2 linked regions of the Oreochromis niloticus genome follow. The protein of the gene in region 1 interacts with the protein of each later gene in a pairwise test. Links are inferred from orthologs where the notes say so. Each region holds a gene or a part of one and is shown on either strand. Other genes may lie near its edges.

What was found.
Region 2: the proteins of kinesin-associated protein 3 (region 1) and ncf2 interact in binary tests that used the Homo sapiens proteins (3 or more experiments, as listed by UniProt). The two-hybrid records come from large-scale screens. The link is inferred for Oreochromis niloticus from reciprocal best matches to the Homo sapiens genes KIFAP3 and NCF2.

Annotation. Positions count from the first base shown.
Region 1 is NC_031982.2:1,954,841-1,964,156, forward strand, and holds the start of kinesin-associated protein 3, read left to right. Parts: upstream 1-5,006; 5' UTR 5,007-5,125; coding exon 5,126-5,166; intron 5,167-6,179; coding exon 6,180-6,311; intron 6,312-7,208; coding exon 7,209-7,366; intron 7,367-7,686; coding exon 7,687-7,748; intron 7,749-7,918; coding exon 7,919-8,060; intron 8,061-9,316. UniProt on the Homo sapiens protein: Involved in tethering the chromosomes to the spindle pole and in chromosome movement. Binds to the tail domain of the KIF3A/KIF3B heterodimer to form a heterotrimeric KIF3 complex and may regulate the membrane binding of this complex.
Region 2 is NC_031974.2:25,537,713-25,546,826, forward strand, and holds the start of ncf2 (neutrophil cytosol factor 2), read right to left. Parts: upstream 3,925-9,114; 5' UTR 3,885-3,924; coding exon 3,711-3,884; intron 3,506-3,710; coding exon 3,423-3,505; intron 3,279-3,422; coding exon 3,170-3,278; intron 3,021-3,169; coding exon 2,886-3,020; intron 2,665-2,885; coding exon 2,557-2,664; intron 2,333-2,556; coding exon 2,273-2,332; intron 1,992-2,272; coding exon 1,948-1,991; intron 1,214-1,947; coding exon 1,072-1,213; intron 910-1,071; coding exon 844-909; intron 668-843; coding exon 613-667; intron 511-612; coding exon 467-510; intron 378-466; coding exon 229-377; intron 149-228; coding exon 37-148; intron 1-36. Other genes in the region: garem (GRB2-associated and regulator of MAPK protein 1), read left to right, coding at 4,942-5,062, 6,935-7,075, 7,363-7,493, 7,687-8,877. UniProt on the Homo sapiens protein: Subunit of the phagocyte NADPH oxidase complex that mediates the transfer of electrons from cytosolic NADPH to O2 to produce the superoxide anion (O2(-)).

The sequences.
Region 1 (9,316 bases):
AAATGAAACCAAACAATATGTTAAAACCATACAACGTTCTCAAAATGTAAAAGCTGTCAAAACCATAAAGTTATGTTCCCTGTTCAATATTATGTGTTTCTTTAGTAGACTGTATACTTGTTTTTTTGGACGAAACCCCCTGACATTGTGTTTTGTTTATTTGTATCTGTATTGTAGTGATGGCCCGCTTGAAGCTGACGCTCCGGAGCGTGCGTTGAAAAAAACAACACACTGGTTCAGAAGCACTGGGCGTTTATCAATATGCGTACTTGTGCGTACTTGCGTTCTCGTGTACTCGTGAAACGTCATCAGTCGGAGACCAAGTACTGTTCCAATTCGAAGTACGCATCACGCCGAGAACGCGAAAAAGTCCCGGATGTGTTCTCGATCCGCCCATGCATCGGTGTAGACTTGGGACAGCTAAATATCCCAGAATGCATTTCGTCCAAAACTCAACAGCGGACTCCCGGCACATCGTCCCCCCCCCCCCCCCGCTCGTGGACTTCTCTCTACTCAGGTTAAAGAAACCCCAGCAGCTGTCTATAGTATTGAGTGTCCACTAGAATAGAAATAAAAGCGTTCTAACATCTCACCTGCTTGTTTTTATTAAGGTATGTACACGTATGTACATGTACACTATTTTTATTAATAGAGGTTTCACTACTGAGGTTAAAAATGATATATAAGTCACTTAGATCACTTCTAAATGTTAATGTTTGGTTCATTTCAGTGTTTTATTTGTTCCTGAGTAAACCGGTTTGGCTGTGATTAAAGTTAAGCTTCATAACATGTTACTCACAGTTAAATTAGGAGGGGACGGCAGTAAAAACTCCGGACCTGTGACATCATCACGTACGCAGGTGTTCCGACTGTACAAATCACAGGTCCGTGCTCGCGTACTTGAGAATTGAGAAACATCCCACGAGTCCGTGCTCGCGTTCTCGGCGAGTACGTACTCGCGTACTTGAGCATTGATAAACGGCCACTGTGTCGAGGCCATTGACTGTAGAAAACATGGACGACGCGACTCCGCCTCCTACCATTGTGCAAAAATGAAGCCAAAATATCCCGCTTGTGGAGGCTGCCATCTTGCAAATTTGGAGCCAGAGTCTGCGCAGTAGTGACTTGAGGTGGAGCGACTGTGTAACGTTCCCGCCCACACACCCGCTGGACATGACCGCAAACACGCCCCCCTACACTTTTTACGTAGCCCGGCTGCTCGAGTTTTTTTGCTGGTTTACCGCGACTGACGACTCGTTTAATTAAGGTAAATACAACCATGTCACTGTTATAAAAGAAGACACACAGCTTATCATCTTATAGTTCTAAAATCACTCTGTTGTTAATTCGTTAGTTAGATTAGCCGCTAGCATACGCACTGTGTTGGAGGCTTGTTGCTAGCTAGTTAGCGATGCTACACACCTGCTACTCTAATAGTCTGTGTTATTGAAGGATTCATCACTTCTTATGTTTGTTTTTATCCATTTTTAGACAGCGATGAGATCATCTGCACACTCTACAGAGGCCCAGAGTTACTGTTAATATCAAAAATATAATGCTGTCCTTTGAGATTTTAACATAAGACTGTGAGTGTAATGGATCTAAAACTGTTTAAATCTTCAGAGCCCTCTACCGTACTCTACAGCCTGGTAACATGGAGACTTTAAAAAAAACAGCAGAACGTTTCAGTAGTGTAGTCTAATTTGTTCTTTTCATTTAATAATAGAGTCCATATTTTATCAACAGCTACATTCACCCTGGAGAGAAACTAGTGAGGGAGACCATCAGGACCAAGCTGGGTTTCCTGGGTCCAGAGGTTTAGAGAAACTTCTTCCTTTTCTTTCATCACAGCTGTCCTGTGCCAGAAGTTCTGTTGACCCACTGAGAGAGGCTTCATTTAAGAAACACCAAGAAGACTGAAGCTCATGCATAGATCAAGCAGGACTCATGATCTTCACCAGCAGCTCCCTCACAGGGAAATCTTCAGCACTCCTCCGTAGGCCCGATCCAGGAGATGGATAAACCCAGCATTTCATGAATACTGTGATGGAGACCTTTGGTTTGTGTAATGTTATAAATACTCGGATACTCCCCAGAGGCTCCAGACTTTTACATAAAGATATTATATTCAGTCCTGTAGAAAGTTATATATTTAAAAAAAATATATGATCCTCTCTGGTTACTCTGGTATGAATAACTCTGAATCACTTTATGGTAAATAACACACTATCTGCAGAAAACTGTGAAAGAATTCCAGATGACAAGTTTGTAGTTCAACATACAAGTGACGACCTTTGACCTTCATCAGGTTTTATTTAATTGTGCCAGAGAAAATCTCATATGCTCTTCATGCAGCTGAGTACATCAAGTGTTTAAAACGGAAGCTGTGCAGGTCTGAGATCAGCAGCTTTGTGAAACACCAAACTGAGGTCCTGTTAATGCTGATATATAGTGACACAGTTACATGAGTGATTAATCCTTTTGTTTTTTTGTCTTTAACTTTATCAATAAAGCTGCAGCTTTCACTACAGGACATGTGGTACTTTAACCTTTGTACTGTTTTCATCAGTTCATTTTGCAGTTAACATGTTGGATGATCTGTCTGCTGTCACTGGGTGGTGCTGAGGTCTGAATCTGAGGGCAGCTCCTGTAATCACAAAGAGAACAGAACCATCAAACTCAGATATAAATTTTATCCCTCAAAATTGAAATAAAGCTGATTCTTCTGTCCTCACACACTCAGGATCTGAAGTTCTTCTCTTACATTTTTTTCAGTATTACAATACACTACAGTACTTTAATCCATAGTTCCTGATTAATGAGGAGTTACTGAAGTACAAGCTTTTAAAAAAATGTTACTGTCTTTACAGATGTGGCAAGAGACTGAAAACATGCTGCTGTTTGCATATATTTGATATTCAGTTCTGCACAGGAGCTGAAGCAGGGTGCAGCCTGTTGCTTTTACAGTATAATACTTGTAATAAAAGTACAGTAACAGTAATTAGTGACTGATTAGCCCGGAACGTTTCTCTTAATTTCTTTAGTAAGTTCATTCACCTGCACAGATTAGCTAAACGAACCCTGACAGCCGAGTGCTCATTTTAGCTAGCTAGGTCTCAGGACATAGCTAAGGACAGTAGTTACGGATTAGCTTACAAACACGATTAACTTACCGAAAAATGCAGCGGGGCCTCGGGTCCTTCTGTCGGGTAGTCCAGTTTACTGAAGAACACCTCGGGCTGTCAGGTTAAAACACTCGGTCGTGTTTTCGTAGCGTAAACGCTGGCCCTCCTCTCAGAGCCTACGCTCTATCTGCTATTCCCGAACACAGATACGCAAGTTTCTCCGTGACTGCAGCTGCCAGTCAAAGCTGCTATGATGACGTTTCACCCCAATTTAACATCGCCGCTGTAGGAATTAGAATCAAACTTATGGGAAAGGAGACCCCTTGGACATCAATCAGCATGATGAGAACTATTGATAACAAAAGAAAGAATCTTTGGAAAAAAATTATCTAAGGAGAATAAATTTATTTTATTCTGACCCCAGTCCCATCCGCTAACATGGAGGAGGCGGGGTTTATGACCTATACTGCAGCCAGACACCAGGGGGCGATAGAGACGTTTTGGCTTCATTTTTGGGGAGCTGTGGCGTCGTCCATGTTTTCTACAGTCAATGGTCGAGGCTTGCTTCGTTTGGCAAAAGTCACGTGACCAGAGACGTCCGAAGCTTCATTACGCACGTAACTCTCATTTGCGGGATTTGTGGAGTGTCTTGATGGTGACAGATAGCGAACCACTGATCATTCTACTGAGAGATTTGGTTCTGTTGTGTGGGAGTATTTTGAGTTGATTCTGGTCAATCGGGTGGGTTTTCCAGCTTTGTGTTCTGGCTGTTTGCTTTTGTTTTGTGCGTCTTTATTTTATCTGAAAACGGGAAAAACTTAAAATGTAAAAAATCTGCTTTTCATAATATAAATATCATTAAATAACTTCCATTTGACTCGTAACATTTAATGTTATAAAAAGATATATTTTATTTAAAAAAATAACCTTAAAATGTTAGTCTACAAAATGTGCAGCAATTTAATTTATTTATTCTCTTTAGCTGATAGTTTGTGGAGCCATAACTGCATCTCTACCAGTTTTTCTGCACTCCAGCCTCTTCTGTGCCATGTGAAGGGATTTTCCTTAAGGCAGGAGAAATTATCTGAACGAAAAGGAACAGATTCGGCCATCGCACAGTGGAACTAATTTTCTTCTTAAATAAAAATGAAAAAGGGTTTCCTTAAATGCATCATGTTTTTAATTTGCAAGTTCATGAGCATTTCCCTTTCCATTTCACAATCAATTCTACCCCCAGGTCAAAAATATGTATAGACAAATTTCCCTAATATAATATTATTTATAAATATACCCGTCTAGAGATTAAATGCATAAGTACATGGAGGCAGGACCTCACAGCAGAAGCATACTGCATAATGTGCATTATTATATGTATGTTATATGTAACGTGGTATTTTTCAATTATTGTATTTACCAACATCAAGAAGTCACAAGCAAAGAAAGACCAAACCATGGTGCATGTTCACACAAGGAAAGTTTACTGGTCAAAATTATTTATTAAACAAATAAACTACATTTTTTAACACCAAAAAATACACGTTCAAAGCAACACAACAGCAGCCCAATATGAGACAGAGTTCCACTCTGTAGAGTGAGCTATCATTATGAAGCAGTTGGTTTTATTTTGTGGATTCAAGCTGCTCTTCATATTTTTGGCCACCAGATGTCACCAGAGAGGACTGTGTTGAAAAGCTTCCAGTAATGAACCGTTTTTCAATACAAGCTTCAGTGCTTCAGAAAGCTTCATTTGGCCATCACTACTGTATTGTGTGCTTTGTCAATAAAGCGTATTCCAAAAAAAAGCGTGTTTTGCTGCCCATTTTATTTCGAATCTGTCGCGAACCGGCGGGCCAGTTACTGAATCAGTCACGTGGTACGAACGCTACTGCATACGTAATCAAAGCGAGCCTCGATACGCGCTTCACAAAAACTCCCCCGAGCTTCGACACATCAGTACTGTTACGTTCATTAAAAAATATTGAAGTTTAAATCTGAGGAAGATGCAGGATGATGCACGTTATCTCAAACGGTCAGTCATAACGTGAGTTTATTATTCTAAGAGTAATGTTATCGTTTGCTAGCTACGGTCTCTTGTACGCCAATTTAAGTAATATATGGTGTCCATACTATCACGTCAGCTTTACTGTGAACGTTTAACAAACACTTGGAAGATAAGAGGAAGCGTTTTTTAAATTGAAATTCTTGCTAATTAGCTTGCCCTGATCCATGGCATTTCTCTATATAGCGCGATGTTTAATTACCTTTCCAATCTGGGAAATTTCCTGTTTTCTTGCTCGGTGCAGAATGCGAGCATATAATTGTTTTTGTTTTAAATGAATAACGACAACGTGCTGGTCCGTTTGGCGTACATGCAGTTGACAGAAAGGTCACTTAAAATATCTCACAATTTAAATCAGCCTTCATGCTTCTATTCACATCCCGTTCGTTAGCACAGTTACCCAATTATTTCTAAAAGGAGCCTACAGTGCATGACAACTTATAAACAAATAACGACTGATTTCACGTTTTCCACTGACTTATAAATCCGCCAGTAAAATAATAAACCCAGTTCAAGAATGTTTCATTCTTGAACTGGGTTTATTATTAGCTTCCCTACGTGAAGGGGGATTGGAACTCTGAATTTCAGCTAAAATAGCTAGCAAGCTTCCGTGCTAAACTGTGGTGGATAATCGCTAGCTAATTGCATGTAGTGTTGAATTTATTTGCAATCAGGGGTTTGCACCGAGTTGAGCTCATGTTTGTCATGCTTCAACTCTGTGAAATCGTGTTTTATTGTTAGCCGGCTAGCCAGTATAGTAATATTATGCTACTGTCTGGGCGTGTCTTCCTATGCGTTATTGTTAGTGCTGGTGATTTGTTACTGGCTTGGCAATTAACGACCTATTTTCTGTAGCAACATGTAAAGTCATTTTGTTGTGAAATGAACTTGCTAGCTGCTTTGCGTCCGATGCAGTTATTATATGGTATGATGTAAATTAAATAACTGGAATGTGTTTACCGTATTTTGTACTGCCTGTTCTTGATCACTCAAAGCAAAGTGACTGTGGGCGGTTTGGACGTCCATCCCACAGAGAAGGCCCTTGTAGTCCACTATGAGGTGGAGGCATCTATCCTTGGAGAGAGTGGAGGACATATGCTTGGAGAACGCAAGGAGGGACAAAAAATGTAAGCGGCCTCTTGACTCACAGCTCCTAAACACTTCATTTCAGTTTCCTTTTGAACTCGAAATCTTTTTTTTCCTTAAAAAGGAGAGCTTTTAAGTTGATTGGATTAGATTTTTATGTCAAATTAACCTTTGTCAGTCTAATCCATCTAAACTGGACAGATAATTCGTAATCATTTCTTCGTATATTTTAATAGTGAGGACAACTAAAAATAAAATGTAACAAATTCCATACATTTTGCAATGAACTTTTATTCCGTTGGTGGATGGTAACAAAGCCATGTTACAAAACAATGTTTTGGTCATGTGCTGACATATTTCTATCAGTTAATATTGCCCCATTTACTAATATATACCTATTTGTAAATAAGGTAACATTTACATGTGTCAGTGGCTCATATTTATCTGTTTTGTCACATTAATTTCATTCTGCCAGCAAGTGACGTTAGCATAATTGGGCAGCATATACTGTATATAAAAGACGAATGTAGCTTCTAGGTTGGAAAAGTAAGTCCCAATAATCAGCAGCAAAGGATTTATCTGATTGGAAAATGACTTTATGGTCTTAACTGCTGCTAATAAACGCTAATAAATAAGGTTTTGTTGCAAGGCAGGCCTAACTAGATATTCTACTACCATTTGAGCGTGTCTGTCTTTAGGTTTTACATCACAACAGGACCTCACAAACAAACTAGTGGGTGACATCATGACAGTGTCTTTTACATTAGGTTTGTGAAAAGAGGACTATTCTGCCTGAGGAAAGGATTAAAAAGATATGTATTATTTATGCTAGGAAAAAAGGGTGTTGGGCCACAGTTTTACAATCAGTATATTTGTTTTGAATTTAATGAAACCTGCTAGCTTCTGCTTTCTCTTCTGCTCTTTTTTTCATGCTCCAGTATCCGCATGAAAAGTCTTTCTCCTAGTACAGATGTGGGAGCTTTGGCAAAGAAAGTGCTGGAGGAGTGTAAGATGATCCCTGCTTCCCGTCTGCCCCAGGTGGAGCAGCTCCTGTACTACTTGCAGAACAGGAAATCATCCCCAGTGGAGAGCAAGGGTTAGTCATACCACCTTCATTGCACCTGTGCTCTGGAGCCCAAAATCTTTACTGTCCAATTCCGACTTTGGCTAACTTCAGTCCCACATGTAGATTGGCAGCTTGTTAGTCCAGCATGTACTGTAAACATTCTAGAAATATTAAGACATGTAAGGAGGTTGTAGTGTAATGGCAGACCTAAAGTATGCACTGTGATGCTAATAAAAGAAAATGTAAACTAATGCAAGTTAAGTTTCAAGTTTTCAAGTTTGGAATTAATGCTGATGTGCTTTATCTTGGCTGTTTGTTTGTGTGTGTGTGTGTGTGTGTTTTGTCACCAGTGGAAAAAAAAGAAAAAAGAACAGTTAAGCCCAAAGAATTGACACCATTTGAAGGCATAGAGGTAACCATTTGTTCCACTGTAGTTTGATCTCACACAGCAGTAAGCACGTGTTCTGTCTTCATTATAGCAACAACTCGAAGTTGCTCAAATGTGTTGTTTAAATAGTTTGGCTGGTGAAAGAATGCATTTGTTATCAGTCAATAACTTTGTGTGTCTGTTTGTGTTTGTAGTTAAATGAGGAGGCCAGTATAACTAGAGTGGATGAGTATATTGAACTGCTCTATGAAGGGATTCCAGAGAAGATCAGAGGCTCAGCTCTCATCCTGCAGCTTGCCCGTAACCCTGATAACCTGGAGGAGCTACTGCACAATGGTACACTTTTATTCTCCATCTTAATTCTGATGGTTAAGCGAGTCATACCTAGAGCAGTTTCCTGACATTCCTGGATAGTTTAAGTGTGTCATCTCTTAAAAATGTTTGATATGGTTTGACTAAAAACATTTAATCAAGTTAGTGTAACATCATTGGTTACTACCTTTTTGATTGATTTCTATTTAGCTATATTTTTCTGCATACAGAAAGAACATTTGATTCTCTGATTGTCTAATCATTAAATGCAGCGCGCTTTACTTAGAAGTGCTATATATAATTGTCATTTTCTCCAGAGCAGTAGCAAGTTCTTAGCATATTTTTCCATTTTTTTCTGCACTACAAAATAACTGAACCTAACCAGTGCTCAGTATCGACTTAAAGGCTGTCTCCTTGGGTTATTGTTAGAATACTTCCATTTTGACCTCTGTGTTATGATGGTATTTGATGCTAGATATATTGTATGGACTAAAGTATTGGGCTACCTGTTTGAATTCAGGTGTTTTCATTCTCATTGCCACAAGTGTATAAAATCAAGCAACTAGCCATGCGGTCTGCTTTGCAAACATTAGTGAAAGAATGGGTCACTCTAAACCTGTGTTTCCCAACCTTTTGGAGCCATGGCACTTATTTCACATTAGAAAAATCACACCACCAAACAAAAAAATGTCACAAAAAGCATATTGATCATTTTTCCCCGCGCACCAGGTATGGCAGAATTGGCTCAGTTTCTTATATCAATGTTATTTATTTTAACTGTCATAAACAGGATGTCACAATTGATGATGATAATAATAACAACTGTACTGCATTAAAACATTCACAGCAGGTGGGATATCCAATTTTTAAGTGATGACATATGAACTCTGCTTCTGGGTGAAAATTACTCTGCGTTTATCAAGGCTGTTGTGTTTTTAACGTGTTTTAATGCTTTGTATCTTGTTCTATTTAATCTGAAAAAGCCCCTAAAAAGGCAGTGATCACTTTCAGCTACTCTCGGTTTTTATTACCACTGTTCATTTTAAAGCTTATGCCATGCAGCAGTATATTAATGACTAACCTCGTATTGTGGATGGATTATCTCAGTTGTTCTCCTGACTGAAGTTTAGTCCATTTACAGCATTCTGCCATGCAGTTGCATTTGTCCCTAACCATCAGGAATAAGTCTGGGTATCGTCACTGATTTCTAGAATCCATTCGATTCCAATTCACAAGGTCCCAAATCGATTCAATTCAAATATTATAATTCTGATCACGTA
Region 2 (9,114 bases), on another chromosome or scaffold:
CAGCAATAACATGGCAATAGATGGTTGCTCTCTTACCTCCTTGGTGTTACACCACAAAGTGACACGCCCACTGCTGGCACGGCTCCACAGCTTCTCCATTTCTGTGTTGGCACTGATTACACTTTGTTCACTTGCCTCAGAGGTTAAACTAAACCCAGTAAAGGTATTCAGTTGTAAGTACAAACAATGCATACCAAACATTCTTGTTTTCTTAATGATGTGCTCTACCTCAAGGTGACTGCAGAAGAAGGAAGATTCAGTTTCCTGCTGATTTTCTCAATCAGCATTGTGTAGGGTGACCCAGACGGGACTGAGACGACAAAGTTGAAATTGAAATGCACTTTGACGATACATGAATTGTCTGTGGACTGTTTCTCCTGGAAATGATGAGAGGAAATAAAAGAACTTAAAATAACAGCCAGAATTAAACATCTCAGTACTTCTCATTTTCTTTGCTTTGGCATACCTGACGCTGACGATTTCCACTAGTGGCTTCTCTTGGCGTAAGACCTTACATAAAGAAAATGTGGAAAATTAGATTTTTCACATAAGGCTCAGATATCATTGGAAAATCCTCATTTAATTTTTGTATCCTGTACCAGAAAAGCCTACCTTGTATCCTTTCAGGTCTGGTGGGTGGCTCTCGGCTTGGAGGTGGAGTTATTCCCTGTTTATAGTTGTTCCCATTCAAAATAAAGAAAAGTAAAGTCTGTGTTATTTTAAAAACTTGGAAAGAATGAAAGGAAAGCTTGGAAAGGAAACTACAATGTTTTAAGCACTGACATTACCAGAGTAATTGATTATGACACCAACAATTGAGAATAATGAAAAATAAATGCTTACCTTGTTTTTGTTAGAAGCTAAGGAGATTTCCAAACGTTCCAGATAGTTGTAAGGAACAAGGCCCTTCTGTGAAAGACATCACAGCCATGTATACTCTCAGCAGACAACAGCAATGCATTAATTGTGTGATAAAAGTACCTGATATGAATACTGGCTTCAGTGCATAAAAACAACACAATGTACTGGTGTTAAAATTTGTACAATAAGTTTCAGATGTGGAGATCTTACTCTTTCATTGAAGACCACATATGCCCAGTTGTCAGCACCCTTCTGCAACACAAACACAATATTGCCCGGCACTACAGCCAGCTCATCACTGGTCTCAGGAATAAACTCAAAGAGCACAGTGTGCGGATCTCCTTCCAAAGCCCTGTAAACACAAGAAATGTCCACATGGCATCAAGAGTGAATCCTCCCCTAGTTTTGCTGCAATAGGTGTAGGCTGCTGGGGGATTCCCATGATGCATTGAGTATTTCTTCTTCTCCCTTACTATGTCTTAATATACCTCTCTGCACTGAATCATACTTATTATGAATCTCTGGCTCTCTTCCACAGCATGTCTTTTATCCTGTCTTCCTTCTCTCACCCCAACCCTCCCTGAGCCTGGTTCTGCCAGAAATTTCTACCTGTTAAAAGGGAGTTTTTCCTTCCCACTGTCACCAGAGTGCTTGCTCATAGGGGGTCATATGATTGTTGGGTTTTTCTCTGTATGTATTATTGTAGGGTCTACCTTACAATATAAAGTGCCTTGAGGTGACTGTTGTTGTGATTTAGCTCTGTATACATAAAACTGAACTGAACTGATGTGAAATTGAAGAGACATAAGACACAAAGGTTAAAGTTGGCACTATTCTGTGTAACGGTACATTTCTATTTTCAGGTTTTAATTATTAGATCTACACTTTGAGTCACATTTTCTCTTTGTGGAAAGCAAAGTTTCATAGATATGACTCATGCTTTCCCCCATTTTGTATTTGTACTAAACATGTATAGTAGAGAATCCACATATCAAAAAAACTTGCCAACTATAACATCATTAAATACTAAGATCATTTCTGTTTAAAGAGTTTCAAATCTGCATGGATCCAAAGTGACTATCATACCTCAGAACCACAGGCTCTTTTGGACAAGTTGGACCATCTTCCACCTATCAAATAAAAAAAACACAGTCCATCAGAGACATGGCAACACACTGGAATATGTAAAGTTTCAATCTAACAGTAATTCTTAACATTGTAAAGGATTGCAGTGCTGCTCTATAATGCAGCACAAGTTCATTTCCATTTTGTTGATGTGGATCACTGGAAGCTTTTAAAACAGGCACCAAGGTAGCATATTTTAATATAAAGTAACAGAAGATAAGAACGCACTGCTGTTTCTGTCATCAAACTGTAAAGTTTTTATTGTCAATAAAAGCCAGTGTGTCACCTGAGGCTGCAATGGGGCAAATCCAGAGAACTCATCTTGAGGAACAACAGAGGCAACGACCTGATGATAAGAGGGGGGGAAAGTAGCTTATAGATATCACTCAACAATAAACTTATTGGTTTCTCTGAGTAATTTCAAATGTGTAAGTTCTGTATGTGTGTACATATATATATATAAAATGAGTGACTGACATTTTACCTAACATAATAAAATGTTGTGATGCTGACTTTTGATAGCTTTATAATCACACTAGATTAGATAGAACAGGCTGTATAACAGATCACCTTTGCTTTGCCCAGGTAGTCTTTCTTCTCCAGCTCTGCAACATAGTGCTTATTTGGTTTGAACATCTCTTTTGATTGGAACTCGACCAGTTTGAAAAGTTTCTGTTTCTGTTGGTGAAATTTCATTGTGAGTGAAACTTAAAATATTTGCCGGTGGTTAATACAGCAGTCGTGCATATCAATATCCACCTGACTTAAAGCAAAATTAGAATAAAGCATATTAGCTTACCAAATATAGGTTAATGGAATGAAGAAAAACTACTACATTTGATATCATACATGTAATCACATTTAAATGGGTTCACAAAAGTGATTGTATCACAACTGACTAGGATTGACTGCAGAGCTTTGTCGATGATATTAAACCTGGCCTCTGTCTTGTAGTCAAGAGCCTTCATGAGGTACTCCTGGGCCTTTTCCCATCTACCCAACTGAGCTTCAACCAGGGCCATATTGTGGAGAACCTGTGGAGACATTGTTAAGCTTGTGTCCTTGGCCAGGAAAAAAAACGAATGCTAAGTTGTATTATGAATGAACAGCTCATAACATCAAATGAATTATTTGGATGTAGTGTTCAGGATTAATAATAGGGCGGGTTATCAAGAATACTCACATCACAAGCATATAGTATGTATCTGAGACCAAGCGCTTTGTAATCTATTAGCTGGTTGCCCCTGAGTGTTTTAAAGGTTTTCTGGAAGTCAGCTAAACTCTCCTCATACCTTTACATAGAGACATAGAGACAAAAGTTAAAACATTTGCATATGATATACTATGAAGCATTTTTAAATAACGTCATTAAACTTAAAAAATAATATGGTCCCTTTTTTTAAAAAAAAAAAAGGAAAAAGGCAGGTGTGTCTTGCCTCTTCTTTTTGTAAAAAGTGATTCCTCTTTGAAAGAAGGCGATGGCCAAATGTTCATCCTTGCGTATGCTGCAATCAAACGCCTGAGAAACAGAAAAAAACAGTCACTTCCTCTAGAAAACATGGTAAGATCTACTTCTCCTTTCTCAGTGACTTGCGCTTTCACACAGCATATCAGAGAATTTTATTTCAGCTACTTTCAAAAGAGTTTCTTGTTTGGACTAATGTGCTGATACGACAGCTGTTAATATTTGTGTGTTTATGCTTCAGCCTGCAGATCAGACATACCTTTTCAGCAGCATCGAAGTCTTGGTTAAGAAGATGGAGACAGCCAATGTCAAAAAAAATTTTGGAGTTTGGTTCTTGAATAGCCAAGAAAATCTCAAGTGCTTTGGAGAAATCTTGTCTGTTGACGCAAGTTACCGCCTCATCCCAGTGGCGCAGAGTGTCTACAAAAGACATGTTGGCAGGTTAGGAGTACACTGAGCTACAGACCACAGTAAGGAAGTTCCTCTGATTTGTACCACTGAGAAGAGGAAGTGTGATGAAAGTCATTGTTGGTGTATATATAAATATCACATTACCACCAGGTCTTAAAGCTAAAGGGTTGTCCCTTTTTTCCCAATGTGATGTTCTGTCATCTACATGACAATTCATTATTTGTGTGTGGTATTTAAATAAAGCTAATCTGATTTTGTTATACGTTCCCATCACCACATATGTCATGCGTGTGATGTTTAGCCATAGATTTCCAGGAATGTTGACGGACAGGGTGTAGGGAATGTGATTACACAAGAACAACTTAATGATGTGTCAGTAAACAAGGATAAGATAAGAAGAAAGACTGAAAGTAATAGGGTTTTTTATTTATTTGTTTATTTATTTATTTATTGAATCACGATTTACAGCAGGTAAAAACACTTCGAAACAGGCAGTCGGTATTCTTTTTTGTTGTCTTTTAGTTATCAGAAACAGTGCAAGTGCACAAACTACAACTTCCGGCTTAAAGTTTTTAAAAACGATAGTGACCTACTAGTACAAGCTTTGCACTCTAGCACAGCTTTATTAATTCACTTGTATTGTAAATGAAATCAGTTATATTGGTGGGGTTTTTTTCTGTTGTTTACCAAAGTATGTATTCCTTACCTTCAGAAGAAAACTATTCCAGCTTCCTTGCTGTGTGGTTGGTTCTCTACCGCCTGAGCCCACCTACGCTGACTGTCTCCACCAATCACAGCAGAGCGACTTGCGCGCTGCCTCCCTCCGGCTGATCCAAACTAGCACTGGCCCCATCGGTAGTTAAACAAACATGGGTCTGCTACATTATCAGACAACGACTCTTTATGATACGTAGGCAAATTTAAAGGAAAAAATGCGAAGATTATTAAGAAACATGCCATGCGTGATATGACACCGTGGACGGAGAGTCGCTATATTATTTAGTGCGTTAGCTTAGTGTAGCCTTTTGTGACCGTGTTTACACGTAGCTAGCTCTTGTTGGCTAATGTAAGCTAGCAAAATGGACCTTGGATCAATGTTGTACAACAATTTAAAAGAAGTTACATGGAGTACCACGTCCTTACCATTAGATCAACTTGTCAGTGCTTATAAGTTGCCTCAAATTGTCAAGCTGGATAACGGCAAGTAACTTTACTTTTTCACGCCATCAGGGCAGCGCTTGTTAGCTGCTAGCTAGCAGCAAAGGCAAACTTAAGCCTGAAACATAAATCTTTGCGATTGAGTTTAGCCGTGTGACTTACCGTTTCTCAACAGTGTGGTCTAGTTTACATTACAAAATAAGCGTTTTCTTATTCTCGTTTTTTGGTTTATTTTTGGTAATGCCTTTGCATCCGTTGTGCAGATCTCACCTTTTTTGGTATTAAACGTGCAAACCCTATAGTCATTTCTGTAATGAAGTTATTCTAAGTTATTTCAGGTTTTGTAAAAACTATATTGCAACGACTGATGAGTTGTACCACATACTGTCTAGCTCCACCATTGGAAAGCCACATTTTTTAATATACATGTATTGTTGCAGGCTGAGTCGCAATGCCAATCTTATAACTAAATCGTAACCTAGTTGCTCTGTTTAAGCTGAGAAGCATCATTGTCTTCATTCTGGTTACAAAAAAGACAAGTATTTATTTATTTGTTTTTAAGAATTAAGACATGATAATGTTATGGTGCTGTGCAAAAGTATTTAGCCACCACTCATTTCTTCATATTTTGCTTACAAATAGCCAGACTTTATTGCATTTTTTGAAGTGGTCTTGAGCAATAGTTCTCCAGGTTTTCTGAAGGTTTTTCAAAGTTTTTGTAGTTCCAGTATCTGACAGTTTTCTTCAAGGACAAAAAAAAGTACCTCATTTAAATGGAGCAGCCAGTCTTCTGTATACACTCTGATTCCCATTTATTTAGTTGAGTCCACTAAAAATACCAAATTAACCAAGAACTGGACTGAAAATCAGTAGCATCAGGTCTGATGGAGCAGTGAATGCAATTTAGAAATGTTTGGTTCAGAGCATTGTGAGTATGTACAGAGAAGGTCAGGAGTGACTAAAGCCACCTGTAAAATAGGGTGGAGGCTGCACTGCAGCAACTGGTGTAAAGAAATTACAAGAAAGCTGCTTTAGAGTTTAGGCTGTGTTAAAGAATAAAGGTGGTCAAATCAAATATTTACTTTCAATTTTGTTAGAGTTGTACAAACTCTGCATTTGCGTATAGCCTGTATTTCCATGTATGTTTTCACATGTTGCAGCCATTTCCCATTTTCCTATTAAAATAAAGAAATGAGTGGGGGCTCAAGAATTTTACACAGTACTGTTACTATACCTCTAACTAAACTATATGTTAATACAATCCTGGGTCTGAACTTGTATCTTAATCAGAATCAGAATACTTCAATAATTCTGATTCTGATACAGACCTGGGTCTGAAAGTGTATATTTAAAACTACTTTATCCTCAGTTATGCCTGAAAATAAACATGCTCACTGTGCCCTGCACTTTGAGATCATTAATAATTTGAATAATTTTCTCCATCTTCCTGACACATGCTTGGCCTTTTATGGAGAACTAAAGTGGTGTATTGTACTTTGAATGATAGAGCATGCTTTTTAGAGAGGTATGGATTAGGCCATTAGTCATTGACTAATGGCCTAATCCATAGTGACTTTAAATGTGCTTGGTAATCCAATGCCTCAGTTTGAATAGAGCAGACTGTATGGCTAAAGAGTGGTATGAAAACAGAAACGGTAAAAGCAGTGTTTCTCCAAGTGATATTTAATTGAATGGCCTGTTCTCTGTAGTTATTAAGGTTCAATAGTTCTCTCATGACCCACATCCAAGACACCACCTGGTGAAAACATAGATATGAACATTTTTTGTTTTAGATGTTTTGTTGCTGGATGGTTCAGTGCTTACTTGGCGATTAATTTAAAGTTGTAATTATGCAAATTATGCTGTTTTCTGCTCTGTAAATAGTGTTTTGTTTTGTTTTTTTACTACCTGTAGGTCAGCTGGTTGAAGGGCTCAGAGACAATGACTACCTCTTGATTCATTCCTGTCGTCAGTGGACGACTATTACTGCTCACAGTCTGGAGGAGGGACATTATGTCATTGGGCCCAAAATAGAGATCCCAGTTCACTATGAAGGTGAGATGCAGCCACAGTCGATGTTTATTTAGTTTGTCTTGTAAATGGTAAATGGACTAATTCTTTTCTACTCTATCCGAGCACTGAAAGCGCTTTACAGTATTTATATGATATCCATTATCAGATATTAAATATGATATTTGATGATGCATCTTTGCCTAAACTGAAGAATTATTCACTAAAATATATAAGTCAAAAATAAATTATGTAATTTTATAGTTGTAAGTCTGTGTTGATGCAAAACGCGTGCAAAACACCATTGACATGTCTTTTCCATCTTTTCGTAGGTCAGTTCAAGTTGCTCGAGCAGGACAGAGATGTCAAAGAGCCTGTGCAGTACTACAACAGCGTGGAGGAAGTGGCCAAAGCGTTCCCTGAAAGGGTATATGTCATGGAGGAAATCATGTTCAATGTTAAGGTACATTTAATCCATCTATTTTTATGTGAGGTTTATGAATAAGGATATATAGCTATAATTCTAAACGCTTCCACCAAGAGTATTTCATAACTTTAGATTTCCAGTTAAAGTTTAAAATTTTCCAAGTTAAGTTTGGTAAAGTAGATTCATTTCATTGCGTATATCGAAATTCATGTATGTAATGTTTTCATAGATGGCTTCAGGGGAATGCAATGAAGACACAGAGGTTTACAACATTACACTAAACACTGGTGATGAACTGACGTTAATGGGCCAAGCTGAGATCCTTTACGCCAAAAGCTTCAAAGAAAAATCAAGATTCAACACCATTTTTAAGAAGATTGGAAAGCTGAACTCCATCAGTAAGATCGGTCGAGGCAAGATGCCTTGCTTGATTTGCATGAACCATCGCACCAATGAGAGCATCAGCCTGCCGTTCCAGTGCAAAGGCAGGTTCAGCACCTGCAGTCCACTTGAGCTTCAGATGCAAGACGGCGAGCACAACATCAGGAACATTGTGGAGAAAACTCGTCTCCCTGTCAATGTGACAGTACCCAGCACTCCACCCCGCAACCAGTATGACCTCCACCTTATTAGGGAGGGTCATCGGTACAAATTGGTCAACATTCAGACGAAAACAGTGGTTGTGTGCTGCATTCTGCGAAGCAATAAAATTATCCCTATCCATTTTCCGTTTCATATAGCCATGCCACGATTTATTGTTCCGGAAGAATTGCTGCAAGGAGAGTTGTGGTTAGATACTATGGTGCATCGCTGGTTTGCGTTCTGCCAGGAACAGTTTGATATCGATGACTATTCTCGTGCTGTCCGGGACGTACGAACAGACTGGAATGAAGATGGCAAAAGCCCCAAAAAAAGCAGTGGAAATGGTAGTTGTAGCAGTGGAGGAAGCGGGAGTTCAAGCGGCTGTCCCAATCATATGCAAATTCCCAGCTCTTTGACTTACGCCCGAGATGAACTCACCCAGTCCTTCCACCGACTGTCTGTGTGCGTGTATGGCAGCAACCTGCACGGTAACAGTGAGGTCAACTTGCAGGGTTGTATGACACTATGCGGAGATTGGGCTCTTATGGCTTCTGACAGTCATCCTTCAGAAGAGAATGAACACTTTTTCCCAGAGCTGTTGGACTGCACAAACCCACAACCAACCCTCAACAAGCTGGATGTTCCCTATGAGGAGCTGTGGTTGGATCACTTGAGAAGTCAGATTCCAAAAGCCTCTCAAAGCGAAGGAATCAGAGGCCTCAACAGTGACTGTGCCACAACAGCTGCACTGACAAACCCAGTCACTTGTCCTCTGGGTGCCATAACCAGCTCTGATGTGCCTCTTACTCCTCCACCAGTCCCACCAAAGTCTGAAGCTGTAAGTATAATCTATTGCACTCAAGAGTTTTCAGTCCTAGGATTGGAGTGTTAGTTGATTTGATGGCAAATACACTGACAACAAGTGTATTTTAATACTACAGCAAAAGCCAGCATGAGTAGCTGCTATGCAGTAAATTAATAAATAAAACTACTTGAAAACAACAAGTTTGATTGGCTGTTGCAGATAAAAAGCTGAACCTAAGGGTTCTTTGAAGAATGACTGTAATGTAAGAAC